2 linked regions of the Astyanax mexicanus genome follow. The protein of the gene in region 1 purifies or fractionates together with the protein of each later gene. This does not show direct contact. Links are inferred from orthologs where the notes say so. Each region holds a gene or a part of one and is shown on either strand. Other genes may lie near its edges.

Region 1 (8,526 bases):
GTTCCTAATAACAGTAAAATGTAAGCCCTGAAACCAGCCTATGGTATTCACACAAAAGGGTCATCATTCAACACACAGTGCACGTTATTCTCGCACAATTTTCTTTAAGGAAACACACTGCTGGCCTCCTCTAGCCTCTCTCACACTCACTTACAATCACAAACCCTCTCCCGCCCTCCAGCTTTAACACACACAGACGCAGTACAGGATGTCCTCCAGCAGACACTCTGGGTGTGTGAACACACTCAGTCACTGTGCCTCAGACAGACAGCTCACCATGACTATCTCAGGAACGCCATCACAATCAACACGTCATGAAGATTAGATGAAGATGATGTGCATTATAACATTTGATACTACAGGAAGCTTAGAAGGCACTTTATAACGCTCGACAATGTTAATATGATGTACATGCTCATTCTGACAGACTGTAATACACTACAGGAAGCATAGGGGGTGCTTTATAATGCCATTTTATGTTCATATGATCCACACGCTTATTACAACAGACTGTAATACACTAAAGGAAGCATAGAGGGTGCTCTATAATGCTCTGTAATATTCATATGATCCACATGCTCATTATAACAGACTGTAATACACTAAAGAAAGCATAGGGGGCGCTCTCTAATGCCATGTTATGTTAATATGATCCACACACTAATTCTGGCAGACGGTAATACACTACAGGAAACACTGGGAGCGCATTATAAGGCATTACAATGTTCATATGATCCACACGCTCATTATGACAGACTGTAATACACTAAAGGAAACACTGGGGGCGCTCTATAAGGCTTTACAATGTTCATATGATCCACATGCTCATTATGACAGACTGTAATACACTACATGGGGGATGCTCTATAATCCTGTACAGTTTTCATTTGATCCACTGTGACTATTAGATTTGATTCCTTTTTTTCCAATTTATGCTGAGAATGTACACATGTATAATGTTTAATTAATGTTCATAATTAGGCATAGCAACCACTTAGAACACCACAGTAACCACTTTCGCAACCAACAGCACAGAAATCAACTGAGAAAAACAAATAATCAGAACAGGAACTGTTGGATTGGTGCATCCCTACAACTCGGACACATCAGCTGACCTTCAGACTCTTCCATCCAGGTCACCAACCCTTATTTACTGACACTTCAGCGTGAGGGCCCTGACCTCAGACCTGTTTTGTCACTCAAACCTTAAAGAACCCAATTAACGTACAGCAGAGTTAGCACCCAGCATTCAGGCTGAGCTAGAACGTAGAAAAAGAAGAATGAAGGCTTAGCAAAAGCATTGGTTCTTTCATACAGAACCGAAAGCATTACCACCATATAAAGAACACTTTAAACTAGAAATACACCACTTAGGATTCCAAATAGTTCCAAACAGTCATTGTTCTATGCAGAACCAGTACTTATACTAACAAACACCACCGCATGTATTAGTCACTGGAATGTTCAAAAGGCACACAAAAATGGTTCTTCTGTGGAACTGTGACCCATTTTAGTGCAGATCTTTTTAAATGTATTGATTTATTGGCTAATGTAGAAATGCTGATACTAACACTAAGTACTAGATAAGTAGTTGTACTTCAGATTGATTTTGTAAAGGTTTTCATAACATTTAATCAAAAGGGGTTCTTTATATAAATCATATTAGGATTCTAGTTTCACAAACTTCGTGCATCACTGTATGTATATATACAGCTCCGGGAAAAAAATAAAGAGACCACTTTCTTTTCTAAAACAGTTTTTTAAATTTAGCTATTTATAGGTATATGTTCGAGTAAAATGAACACGATTGTTTTATTCTATAAACTACAGACAACATTTCTCCCAAATTCCAAATAAAAATATTTATTTGCATTTATTTGCTGAAATGAGAAATGGTCAAATTAAAGAAAAAGATGCAGAGCTTTCAGACCTCAAATAATGCAAAGAAAACAAGTTCATATTCATAAAGTTTTAAGAGTTCAGCGTTCAATATTTGGTGGAATAACCCTGGTTTTTAATCACAGTTTTCGTGCATCTTGGCACGTTCTCCTCCACCAGTCTTACACACTGCTTTTAGATAACTTTTACACCATTCCTGGTGCAAAAATTCAAGCAGTTCAGTTTGGTTTGATGGCTTGTGATCATCCCGCTTCCTCTTGATTACATTCCAGAGGTTTTCAATTTGGTAAAATCAAAGAAACTCATCATTTTAAAGTTGTCTCTTATTTTTTCCAGAGCTGTGTGATATGTTCTAAAGAGAACCATTTCTGTTGCTAAAAAGAATGAACACAATCCAAAAATTAAAGGCACCGAAATGCGATTGATGATACAGATTCCATAAAAGAATCATTCTTCACTCTCTTGAGATCATTTCAGTGTCTATAAAGCTGCTGGATGTCCTTTTTTAAACAGTGTAGAAGATCAGTTTACTGAGATGAGCGCGGTTCCTCTGAGATTTGTGCCAAAATTTGGGTCAGTGCTGCTTTCAACCCAAAACTGGGTCTGTCTTTAAACTCAGCACCAGCCTTCATACGCTGACTAGATGACTAGATGAACCTTCCACTCACACCAGAAGGTGTTTAATTACATCATGACAAGGCCTGTCATCACATCAGGCCAGAGGTGGACATCTCAAACCCTGCCTGTCAACACAGCTCGGGGTCAAGTCGAGATAGGAGCCGCGGCTCCTGGAGGCCCAGCCGGTGCTGCGGATCTGTGTCAGTGGAAAAAACATAATAAAACCTTGACTTCTCCCCTCAGGCCTCAGAAAACAGGTTTAGGTGAAGAATCCGAGGTGTGGAAGGAGTTGGCCGAACTCTCTCTCTCTCTGTCCTCCTGAAAGTACTTCCACTCCCAGCCTCAGGATCAGCCTCATTGTTCTCCAAGAAGGAGGGTGACTTTTCCTGTTCCAAAAAAAACTCAAATATTCCCAAGACAAACACCAAAACCCCCCTGTTGGTGTGAGGGTTTCACCCAGCCACCAGAAAAGTGGGTCAAAGCCTTGTTTTAAAGCTCGCAGGAGCTTCAAAATTGACACATTCAAATAAAACAACTAACCTAACCTATCTGCTGCTGGGTAAACTTCCAGACCTGAGTCTGAGTCTGCTGACGTTGGACATCTCCAGCTCCTGGATGTGAACAGACTGGGTCAAAAACAGGGTCTAACAGGGTTTCACTCACTTTAAAGCAGATTAAAACCACCAACAACGAGGTATAAACCACTAAGGTATAGAGATACGCAATGCTAGGTTCTGCCACAGCGGTAAAACATGGCAAAAACAGACCGACCCAGCAACGCTCCAGCCCCGGGAGAGGGAGCGGACGTTCTGCCCGGTTGTGGCCGAGAAAAGGAGGCTCTCGCTCGGCCAAGCCGGCTTCTGATACCTGCGCTCAAAAAAAACAACCACAACTTCGCTTTTCTGAAATGTTTTTCACACTTTTCTCACACTCACCTCGGCCTGCGGAGGAGCGGCGGTAAGTCCGAGCTAAAGCCGAGGTCCTGGCTGGCGTGGAAAGTTCTCAGCAGTGCGGTAATGTTTGCTGGATCTCTCGGTTTTTTTTCGCAGCAGAGGCAGCCCGCCGCCGCATTCCGCACGCTGGAGCTTTTTTCCCCCTTTTTTTCTCCAGAACACCCGTATTGAGGAAAGCCCCGCCCCTCCAACGCTGTGATTGGCTATGTCATGTTCATGCGTCACAAGGCGGGCCGTCGTTCAAGACAGGGCAAGGCTCTGGGCAAGAACGGAACGCGGCCGAGTCCCCGCCCCTCCTGCCACGCGATTGGCCAGTGCTGGACGCTCTCACGCGAAATCGCGATTCACAAGGGGCGTGGCTTCACGGAAAACAGGTGGGAAAAATACATATTGCGCATTCTTTCGAGGAGCAAACAATGAAAAAGGTAAGGGACTTTTATCTTCTAACTTTTTTAAAAACGCGTTTTTATATTTATTTTTTGTTATTTTTGTTTAGTTTAGTGTTTTATTATTTTATTTTAAATCTGCAATAATGCTGCAACTATTCAGGATGTTAATCTTTTGTCCTGCTGTGACTGGTTCAAAAGCATAAAAAAATCCAGCTTTGATTGGTCAGGATAGAATTCAACAGGCTGTGATAGGTTGAAATCTGAAAATGTTATACACACAAGCCTTAACTTACTGTAATCATTTGAGTCTTCATAAATGTATGGACACTTAAAATGTCAAGAAAAGCAAAACATTTTTATTAGCCCATTTAGCCAACAGGAGTAACCAACAAACAAAACCTTATCTCCACCTTTTTAGTCTACAGCAGTTTAGCCCCACCCATTTAGCCTACAGCATTGTATCTCCATTCATTCAGCCTATAGCAGTTTAGCCCCATCCAATCAACAAACTTCATCTCCACCTATTCATCCTACAGCAGTTTAGCCCCACCTAGTCATCCTACAGCAGCTTAGCCCCATCCAATCAACAAACAGAAGTTCATCTCCACCTATTTAGCCTACAGTTTGTTTTTGATTCATGAACTCAGACAGAGTGTAAGTGGATCTGAGGAAAATTGTGGGATATTGTCTCTTTTAGCGACTTTCTATGAATATAAACAGCAGCAGATGTGTCAAAATGTGCATTTAGTGTTGGAAAAGTGTAGACTTCAATAATCTGAGAATTGTTTAAGTGGTCTACCCATTCAGTTAAGTCATGTCCATCATCATCACTGTAAAGAATCTTAGGGTATATTTTTGTTTACTACATAGTATACAGTAAGATTTGCTGTGTATATATTGTGTTCTTTTAATTTTAGTCCTGTAGTCCTGTCATCACCACCTATACATGACAATTGATTGATTTGTAGAATTGCGTGCATCGGACGTCGGGGTGTTGTCAATTCGGCATCTTGCCTTTCCAGTTGTTGTGCTAAATTCTGCCTCCCTGCCATTCCAGACTGAGAACAGTCTTTAGGTTGGACCAATTTTTTTTTTTTACAAATATTTCACATCTTCTTTTACGCCAGCTATTTTGGTTTAGACCAATATGGAAAGTCTGAAGATCCAAGCAAGATACACTAATAGCTGAAAGGTGAAAGGTAAGGCAGACCACTGTCTGGAACAAATGACTAAAATTTGGTTAAACCAAATCAAACACCCCTGTGTGTGCAAATGTGTCAGTTAGCCGTATGACCTTGTGACTCCTGTATCTACTGTAACTGTAGATTAACTCTTATTAATAAACAGAAATAAATGGAATCTGAGGATAATCTGTTGCGTTTCTTCTGCTGCATGACATTTTTCACTCAAAGGGAGTTGGATTCTTGCACTGAGACAGAATTTGGCTGAGAACACCTGAGAACACTTATACAGGCAAATTGCCAAAGTAACAACAAGCCAACGTTGAAGGCACGCCCTTCTACAAACCAATCAATGTATACGTATATGATGATGACTGGATAAAGCTTTAAAAGTACACAATGTAACAAACCCATGAACCATGATTCAAACTCTGGTCTGCACTTTCAGATGTAAAAGCAAAACCCTTAGTTCTCCTACTCTGAATTTGAATCTAGGCCGTGGTTCCTTGGTGAAAGTGCTCAGCCCTGTTCTCTGGCAGACAGAAGAGGTTCTGACTCCCGCTCCGCATGTACTTATAAATACACACAAGACGTTTATATCCTCCGTAAACGCACACTCCTCAATTTTCTGTCCTAAGCGTTTAATCACGAGCGAAACGGTATGTAGTTGTGGTGGAGGAACGGAGGCCAAGTTCAGCCGGCCACTCCGCAGCCTCCTCTCTCACTGTGTGTTTAGCTCTGCAGCCGCGCTCCATCTCTCCACCCCATTACTGAAGCTCCGCATCTGACATTTTTAGAGCCTGATGTTAGTACTGTGCACTGATTAGCATGATGCTAACTGTAGAAATCTCAACTTTAACATTTATATATCCATTCAAGAGCCTTCTCCTATGCTTAGCTTATATTTTACTGTCATTAGAATAAATAAAAGGCCCATGATCACTCTGGAGGACCTGCAGAAATCCACAGCCCAGGTGGGAGAATCTGTTCACAGGACAACTATATCTGGCCTTTGTGGAAGAGTGACAAGTAAAAAAAAAAACATTGTTGAAAGAGAGACATAAAAAGTTATATTAGCAGTTTATCACAAGCAAGGCAAACATGTGGAAGAAGGTGCTGTGATCAGATAAGACCAAAGTTAAACTTTTTTTTGAAAATCTGTTGGAAGACTTGAGACTGGGAAGGAGATTTACTTTCCAGCAAGACAATGATTATAAACATACAGCCAGAGCTAAAGTGGACGAGTCAAAGTCCTGAAAGACCTAAATCCCATTGGGCTTCTGTGACAAGACATGAAAATTGCTGTTCCAACCTGGCTGAGCTTGAGTTGTTTTGCAAAGAAGAACGAGCAAAAATCTCAGTTTCTAGAGCTGCAAAACTTGTAGAGACAAACCATAAATGACTTGCAGCTGTAATTGCAGCAAAAGATGGCTCTACTAAGTTTTTGAAATAGAGGTTGAATACCATAAAATCCACTTTGTGTTTATATATATATATATATATATATATATATATATATATATATATATATATATATATATATATATATATATATATATTTATAAGTATATATATATAAGTATATATATATATATACTTTGCCTAATCTGTAAAGTGAATAAATGCAACTTTAAAAAAATGTAATACATGACTTTTAAAGTCCCTGTGTTTGAACACACAACTTAATGGATACCCTAGCATAGGAAGCAATATTAGCAATATGAGTGTTTTACTGAGCTAATAAACACTTACTGCCCACATAAGAAGCTTTTTCTTTACAGAAATTCCTACAGGTGCCAAAAACATTTGCACAATACTGTACATTTTCCTACACTTTATCTTCCATCCCTGTATTCAGTTAGAGCTCCCATTGTTCTTTAATATTTAAAGTTTTGTCGTGGAAATCAGTCATTCATTTTTATAAATCTGATGTATCTGTTCAAATAAATGTATAAAATGGGTTTCTCTATCAGATGGGTTTTTTGTGATACTCCAATATGTGATTTTTGTGAGATGTCTAATTTGTAGATATCTAAATAAGTCACTTAGGGGTAGAGCATATTTGTCCTTGTTGTAAAAAACATTTCAATACATTTCCATTTAACAATTAGTTGATTGTTCTACTAGACCTTGTGGGTTCTGAACATTAATGCCTCACTGCTCCAAGAACCTGGACTGACTTAATATGTCCAAATGTATGTAGACGTCCCTTCTAATGCAATCAGTTAAAATAGCTAAAATAGTTCCTGTAGAAGAGAAGTATTGGCAATAGAATAAGAGACGATTTAGAGCAGATTATAATGAAACTATGGGCACACTGACATGAATACACAACCCCCTAGCATCGAGCTGTGGAGTAGTGGAGTAATGTGTTCTCTGGAATGATGGTGCTTCATCCAATACTTTTGAGATGATTTCTCTGTAATTTTGTCTGTATAGTGTGGGCTGATTTTTCACTGAGTGATCACTGCTTTACATTGAGAGTATCTTATAATAGCAGAGTGGTGATCAGCAGCAGTGTGATGTTAAGTGTGCGCTTCTCTCTGAGGTGTGTGTGTGTGTTTGTGTTCAGCTCTGTAATGCAGGGGTTAAACTCTTCACTGGATAAAAGAACACACATTAAACTCAGAGCGCTTGAGTGCAGCAACGGCAGATGGAGATTACATAAAATACCCACACACACTGCAGAGCAGGACAGGAGAGCACTGCTGAACAGTGCTTGCACACACATACACACACACACACACACACACATGCTCATACGCACACATACAGGTGTGTGAACACCTGGCCAACTCTTACACATAGTACAAAAAAATTTAGGCAACACCTCTGCACCTTAGTTTAAAACAGCATTATATAACAATGGGGATTTCTTGCTCCTGGGCTCCCCCTATAGTTAAAATGTGTAATTTGCACTTTAAAAACTATAGCATTGGGGTAAATACACAGCAATCCTGGAAAAAAAAAACTGTTGGATTCTGCAAAAGACTTGAGTATGGAAAGGAGATTCGCCTTCCAGCAAGACAATGACCCTAAACATACAGCCAGAGCTACAGTGGAATGGTTTGGATCAAAGAATATTCAAGTCCTGACCTAAATCCCATTGAGCTTCTGTGGCAAGACATGGAAATTGCTGTTCACAGAAACTTTCCATCCGACCTAGATGGAACCAGTTAAAATGTGTAATTTCCCCAGTGTCACGTATGTGCTATAAATATGCTATAGAAAGCATTACCATCATCAGTGGACAGCACATGCAGTAGAAGGTAAAACGACGGTGACCGGCGGCATCTGGCTCAAGTTGTCCTTGAAATACAAATACACAAGAATATCTGAGAGAAATCACATCCATATTTATCCCATAGGTCAATTCAGCATTCTACAGCTTCCATGGGACATGCCAAAAGTCATGGGCGAGGCTACTAGTTCATTGTATTGGTCAGTGTATATTATGCACACACAGCAGCTAATAGTGATTTTTTA
Region 2 (7,606 bases), on another chromosome or scaffold:
TCAGCAGGCCTTTGGCTCCGTTAATCTGCGCCAGACGCACTTTCTCATAGAAGGTACAATTCCCACGCAGCACCATGGGGATCCGATTTGGGAAGCCGCCTTCCGGCACATCAGAGGCAGAACACAGCACTGAAGCTGTCAAGTCATACGCCAGCAGACGAGACTGAACAAACACACAGAAAATCAGTATATATAATATACATACACACCATACACTGATTAAGATCATAAATACAGGTACAGGAAATTAAGACCTGCCCTCAGATATAGTCAATTAGCCAAGACATGTCTGGCATCTTGGTCTTTCATGATAATTATGATAATTACATTTTTTACAATATATGAACATGACCTTAATGATTTATGTTGATCTCAATGTTGCCCATTGGGGCTTCTTAGTGCGACGAGCCCATAAACATTACTGATGTCCTTTGTTTTTACCACATTTTTCACACTATAAGGCACACTTCCAAACATCAGTGTGCATTATGAACAAATTCTACCAGTCAGGTGATGATTTACTAGCTGATGATTTACTAGCGCTAAACCCTGCTAACAGTGGCTAGCGCTGCTGCTAACACTCTGTTGACAATATTGGAAATCTAAGCTTACTGTGAATAAACTGAAGCACTTTACTCGCCCAAATTAACAGTTTTCATGAGAGCAATGTGTGTACATTACTGTGTAACACCCTTATTCCTTACTATTGTCATTTAAAATGTGCCTTGTTATCTGGTGTGCCTTATGTATAAAAATACACCAGAAAATATACAAGGAAATAGACATTCATTAATAGAGTGGCTTATAATACAGTATATCTCTGGAAAAAATAAAGAGAGCACCTCAGTTTCTGAATCAGATTCTCTTATTTATAGGTATATTATTGAGTAAAACGAACATTGTTTTTTTTATATATAAACTTCGGACAACATTTAATATTGCCAATTAGATCATCCATCTTCCTCTTGATTATATTCCAGATGTGTTCAATTTGGTAAAGTTAAAGAAACTTCTCATTTTTAAGTTGTTTTTTATTATTTTCCAGAACTGTATATATACAATTTTTTTCCAATTTTCTCCCCAATTTGTAAGGCTACCCACTTAGTACCCACCGGAGTCAGCTGGACCCCTCAGAGACCCTTGGCACGTTGTTATGCCTTAATATTCTTACTCATTAAAAGCTTACTGCTCTTTGAAAGGGTGTAACTGCATTCAAATACTAGTGTAAGATTATTATATGAGGGCATAAATGGTCTTAAAATGAAAATGTTATTGTTAAGCACAATCTTTTTGGGACATCATATCTGCAGGACTACTGGCATCTGCTGTATGATACTTTAATGTACAACAGGAGATGCTAAGCTAACACTGCTATTCCACTTAGCCACTCCTGCAATTAGCTGGCAATTAGTTTATGTTTGTGTTTACAGCAAGGTAAGCATGTGTATTTGTAGAGAAGTTGAATAACTTACTGCTTTATTAAGGTCCTGAGGTAGCCGAGCCCACTGAGAGTTGAAGAAGATGCAGTAATCCTTCCCTTTACTCTTTCCCCACTCACTAAAATGAGCCATGCCATATTCTCCCACAGCCTGCAGACGAGAACACAGCTAGCTGAACAAATTTACTTCACAATTAATAACACTGAATAAGTCAGTGGATCCTTAACAATTTATAACAGATACTAAAATGTAAACTTGCTCAATAATTTACAGTGGATAATACATAATCAGTAAGTAAACTAGTTAACTAAATAATTCACTAAACTTACAAACGGTAAAGTTCTTTGTTTCTGTGCGAATTTTTCATTCCACCTTAAATAGTGCAGCAGTCAGAGGATTATTTAAGGTGGAAAGGAAAACTGGAAAACCCTAACTTCAACTCCGTGTTAAGAGTATTTTATCAGACAGTCTTAATTCTCTTTTCGCCCTTCATAATATAATTAACTAAACATTATATATAAAGCTGTAAATCAGGTTTAAAGGTTTCGGGGCCTGAAGGCTTCATCCTGTCTCCTAGCGTTAGCATGTTAACAGGATGAGCTAACCTTCATCTAAACTAAAGCGAATCTGTGTTTATTTGTCCTTATCTACATATTTCCTTCAGCGTAACTGACCAGTAGACTGAACGTGTCTGTGCTGTGTGGTGTCAGTACCTGTTTAATGAACAGAGCTGTCCAGATGAGGCTCCGCATTAATCTCATACTGTCTTACTGTTGTTCTTCCTCCATCTGCACTGAGGCACGGCCACAGATCCCGATCCCGAGCTAACCGCGGCGTCTTATTGGTCCGATCCCTGCCCAGCGCCAGCACCTACGGGAGTGGCTCACGCAGCTGTCAGTCTGAAACGGGGCTCTTTAACACAGTGATATCTCAGTTTAATGATTGATTTACAGTAAATAAACAGATGTTAGGGGTTTAGAAACATAAATTTGCATAGTGCACTTTTATAAAAGGATAATTTATTGATAACTAAGAGTTAAAGCTCAATCTTACACTGTAAACTGAAGTTTGTGCCAAATGTTTGTGTCCTGTCCTCAGTTTTTCATGCACACCAGCCCCTCTAACCTGACTTTAAAAATATACAGAAATGTGATATGTTGAAAGTGGGTGTCTTTTATTCTAATAGGAATTATATTCAATGTAAATATATTCCACCGCAATTACTATTACGACTACAAATAATTATAATAACACGTAGATTATAGATAATGTTGCATTTGTGTACTGAAAACAGTATTAAATAATTTATTTGTAGTTTTAATTTCCTCTGTACAAAATGCAGCAACTGAGAATAGGCCTATCTAGTCATAATAGACTAAAAAATAGAACCATACTACCATATTCCTTGAATCAAATAAGGACATAAATATAATGAGAAACAGAAGAGTAAAAATGCAATTTTACAATATTTAATAAATATGGATGACAGGGATAAAACCAATAAAATCATAGCAGAAAGAAGATTGCGATTCATGAGGCCTTCTTATTTCCAGGAATTCTATTACTTTTTCTCTTAAATTTCTTGATTTTTTTCTTAGGCCATTAAGAAGAAATAAACATTGGGAAAATTGTAAAAAAAAAAAATCTGCTGTTAAGTATATATTATTTACCCAACAAAAGTATAATATTTGCAATATGCCAGACATGGGTCTGTACATGAAGAACCTTTTTGATTGACAGTAAACACAGCCTTGATAAAAATGCTACCTGCTAACAAATACAGCTTAAGACCAGCTGGTCACCCAAAAAAAAAAAAACACATCATGCTGGTCAAGAGCTGTTTAACGAGCTAGCCTACCAGCATAGGGTATGTTTTTTTTTGGATGACCAAAAAATTGGTCTTAAGCTGAATTTGTTACAATATCTACAATATCAAATGCAAATAACATAATATACACGTAATAATATGCTTAATATAGTAATCATTTTGCTAATGCTTGGGGGATATACACAGTTACATAAATATCTTAAAATACACACGTTGTAACAGTTTTAATAACTTTTGTATTAAAGGGTCCATGAGTTTAACACAATGTTTCATCCTTGTTTCAAAAGCAACAAAAGGGTCTTGCCTGAGAATTTACATTTATTCATACAAAACCTGGCCATTAAAAGTCTAAAATGTGTGATATATGCATTGGTACATTTATCTCTGTCATTTACCAAAAGACCAAATAATACATACATAAATAAACAATACTCTAGTAGTTACCTAAATAAACAATATTTTATATCAGTCTTATGGATAATGTTGTGCTTGTGAACTATTTCTTACTCTCTTTTTCTCTATGTAAAGCACTTTGAGCTGCACTGAGGTGCTACATAAATAATGTTTATTATTATTATATTATTAAAAAAGGTGCTTATTTTTTATCCTCTTTTATACATATTGACAATTTCAGGTAAATAACAAGATATAACATTGTGTTTTAAAGTGGTGTTTAAATGTTAGAAAATGTCTAATTATCTGGGTAGAGTTTGTGTATAGGTTTATACGACGAAGCTTTTTTATTGCAGCACGACTCCTGACGTCACCGCGGCGTTAATACCCGAGCGCGGCCGCTGGGCGGCGCTGGAGCGGAAACACCGCCCGCGGGGAATGCAGCTGTCCGGTCTGTGAGTACAGTATTTACATTTTATTCACATGTAAAGCTTTAAACAGATTAAATAACCCTGATGAAGACATGTATTAAGTTTATACAGTTATATGTTAAGTACAGGTTAGTGTGGAGAGTAAAATAAAGGATTCCCGGGTTTGTTTAAAGGCTCAGGAGGCTCTGAGATGTGGAGTTAACCTAGGTTAGCTAAGAAGCTAAAGTCAGCGTTAAAAGGCAGCGGGTTTTAGTGAATATTTAACTGAAGTTAAACCGCATTATCTCTCTACCTCTCTGTGTGTCTGTAACTGTGTATGAGAGCCGACCAGTGTTAGGGTTTAGTTTAACATGATTTGTGTAGTTAAGAAGTTCTGCTTCTTTTCAAATTATCCGTTCCACCTTAAATAGTGCAGCAGTTCTATGTTAACTGCAGGACCGTTTAAGGTGGAACTGACAATTCTTTTTAAACTCCAAAATAAACCTCGTTTAACAGAAAAAGTCTTTTACCAATTCACATCTGACCTTAATTAGAATATTAGTGAAATTGGAGACAATAAACATGTTATGAAATATAAATATCAGTCATTTTTTAAGCGATAAAGCTCACGTTTGTCTGTTCTGGATGAAGATGATGATGATGATGATGTAGCAGGATTGGTATTTGCACTCATTAAACACATTACTGATCCCCAAGACTCATGTCAGGGTCTGTTAAGCTCATTTTGGCTGAGTATAACTTATTTATTTCATACTTTAAGCTATTATTGTCCATATCTGGACTATTAAAAGGAATATTCCTTATTTAGAAGAAAGAAACATTTGAAAGTTAAATGTTTGTCAAACTATTAAAGGTGGGCAATAGGGGAGTATATATTTTTATTATAGTGATAAATGCAGATGAAGAGTTCATAAAACACTGATTATTAATAATTTCTCTTAATTTTGTAGGTTTTGCCAAACTATGTCCATAAGAAAACAGTGATTTAAATGGCTTGAGAAAACACCTTTAATTTTTTTTTTATTAAAATTAAGTTTTAGTTGTAGTTTCAAAGTGTTGACATTTACAGGTTTTTATATGGTTTTTATTTTTTTTTTTTTAAGAATGTTTTTAAAAAGTAATGGAAATTAGAAAAAAAATGTTTGATTATTGTTTTGGTTTAAAAAAAATAATTTAATGTTTAATTAATGTAAATCCGTCACATCTATTTGCATTCAACTATATCTGTAAATTCACACAATGAGAACAAAATGATGATTTAATGCTGTCTGGCTTTATTCAGACATATAATGCAGAATACGCAGAAATATTATTCAGCTAGTAAAACGTGACCTTTCAAAATGTTTAAAATTCATTTTAGGTGAGAAATATATTTGAGATTTTTTGGCCAAGTCAGTACTGATATATTACAGATTGTATGTTTATTTAGTGTACAGCAGTTTAGACACTCATAATGAGCCTATGATGAGCCTATGATGAACCTGTTTAGCCTACAGAAAGAGACATATTCAGGATGTCCTGTTATCTCCTCTGTTACAGGATTTGTTGACCCAAGTGTGGACTGTGGGTAAGGTCAGCGAGTCATGGCTGGCTTCAGGCAGGAGGATGTGGAGAAGTTCTATGAGATGGGGGAGGAGCTAGGCAGGTAAGACGCTACGTCGTTAGCTCTGATGAGTAAGTCATGACGGCTGTGAATTTGGTTAGATTAGTCAACATAGGCTGGGTTTTAATGGTGGGGTTGTGAAGTAGTGCCTGTAAGACAGAGTGATGTACATCAGTGACTTACAGTGATCTGCTAAAAGTGACACAGAGGTAATTATTGCTAGGTTTGTTAAAAAGAGTTTAAAAAAGTCTAAATAATATTAATTATTACATAATTAATCAAAGTTATGTACAAGTAATGTTTTTCCTTTTACCTTTTTGAAATCATGAACAGGATTATTGGCTATGTTCACAAAACCAGGCTAAAGTGACTCAAATTAGATTTTTTTGCTCAATGTGGCTCAGATTTTCTTTTTAAGGCTGTGTGCACGTGCCAAATGCGATTTTTTTATTTTTTTTTATTCAGATCTGAGCCACTTCTTTATGTGTTGCTAAATCGAACTTGCTTAACCTGAACCATGGACATGCTACATAAATGTGAACGGTCAAATTCATGTGTCTTTTTTTTCTTTTACGCATGCGCTACGTGTTTCTCTCTGGTACCCACACATCTCTTGGTGCAGCTATAGCTGCAAAAACAGCAAAAGCAAACCGCCTGGCCCTTTTTTCACCTCCTCGACCTGAGCATGAACTTCAGACCAGCTGTTTACTCTCCACTCCAGCAAAAGATGCTCCACATATGAACTGCTAAAGCATCATTTCCCTTTTTTTAAAACTACGAGTCGTTTATACATGTATTAGTGTGCGCGTGTGAGGCATTTCAGGGACAGATTCGTTCACATTACACACAGATACAGCTCACTTATATTTGTGTATGTGAACCGTCAAGACAGCCACATCTGATTTGAGCAATGGGCTCTAAATGTGGATATTTATTTTTTGTTTTTGCTATTGATAGTTCAGTGTTAGAAATTGCTATTATTTATTTTTTTGCTATTGGTAGTTCAGTGTTAGAAAACATTGATGTTCCATTGTAATTTAAAGAAGCTTACGATAAACTGCAACACCATAAGCAAAACAATATGTTCTGTTTGTTTGTTTGTGTTTTTATTTTAGAAAACCTTTCATAATTGGTAAATACCAACACATTAAAAATTCTGGGTAAAAGAAAAGTATATTATCTTTAAATGTAATTGTATTTATTACTACTACTTACTATTTAAGTAAATGCTGTGTTTTTAAGTATTGATACAGTATTGTTATACTACAATATATCAGTGTTTTCTTACACCCCTAGTAAGTATAGGACTGTTTCTTCAGTTGTGTGTTAGCAATGATCTTTGGATTGAAGTTTTTATATTAAACCAGATTCAGACTAATGCGGAAGAATGTCATACTGTTACGCTTTCTTTTGTTTGCTCTAAGTCAGCATAAACACTGTCGCGCTGCAGTGAAGCACAGTGTGTTTTAGAGCACTCTGTACTAACACACACACTGATGCGGCTGCGATAAAGATACTCTGCTTATTTTACCTTTACGTAAGTGCCTTCCTCTCACACTAGTGAGGAATTTTAATTCACACAAAGAATGAGTCATAAACACACACACACACAGTTTGCTTTCCTATAAAAGGCAGTGGAGCTTTAATGCAGGATGACATCATCTCTGTCTGTCTTTTTCTCAGCGTTTGCCAGAAAACAGCTGTGCTGCACACCAGATTACAGATTACTCAGACTGCAGGAACGTCTATCGTAGACTCTATAACAGTTCTCAGCCTCACTTAGTTTATATCCACAATTTATGACTTGCAGCATCATCAGGAGCGCTAACCAGCTGAGAAACTTTCTATGATCTCACACTTTTTTTAAAGGAGCAGTGCAGTGAAAAATCTGAGATTGAATTCAACCAATTCA

Evidence for each region.
Region 2: the proteins of luzp1 (region 1) and dapk3 purify together in Homo sapiens (affinity purification with mass spectrometry; 3 studies listed by BioGRID and IntAct, with this or other methods). This does not show direct contact. The link is inferred for Astyanax mexicanus from reciprocal best matches to the Homo sapiens genes LUZP1 and DAPK3.

Annotation. Positions count from the first base shown.
Region 1 is NC_064421.1:44,089,707-44,098,232, reverse strand, and holds the start of luzp1 (leucine zipper protein 1), read right to left. Parts: upstream 3,603-8,526; 5' UTR 3,453-3,602; intron 1-3,452.
Region 2 is NC_064415.1:44,697,063-44,704,668, reverse strand, and holds the start of dapk3 (death-associated protein kinase 3), read left to right. Parts: upstream 1-4,037; 5' UTR 4,038-4,115; intron 4,116-5,630; 5' UTR 5,631-5,674; coding exon 5,675-5,736; intron 5,737-7,606. Other genes in the region: sppl2 (signal peptide peptidase-like 2), read right to left, coding at 1-163, 1,473-1,589, 2,153-2,200. UniProt on the Homo sapiens protein: Serine/threonine kinase which is involved in the regulation of apoptosis, autophagy, transcription, translation and actin cytoskeleton reorganization. Involved in the regulation of smooth muscle contraction.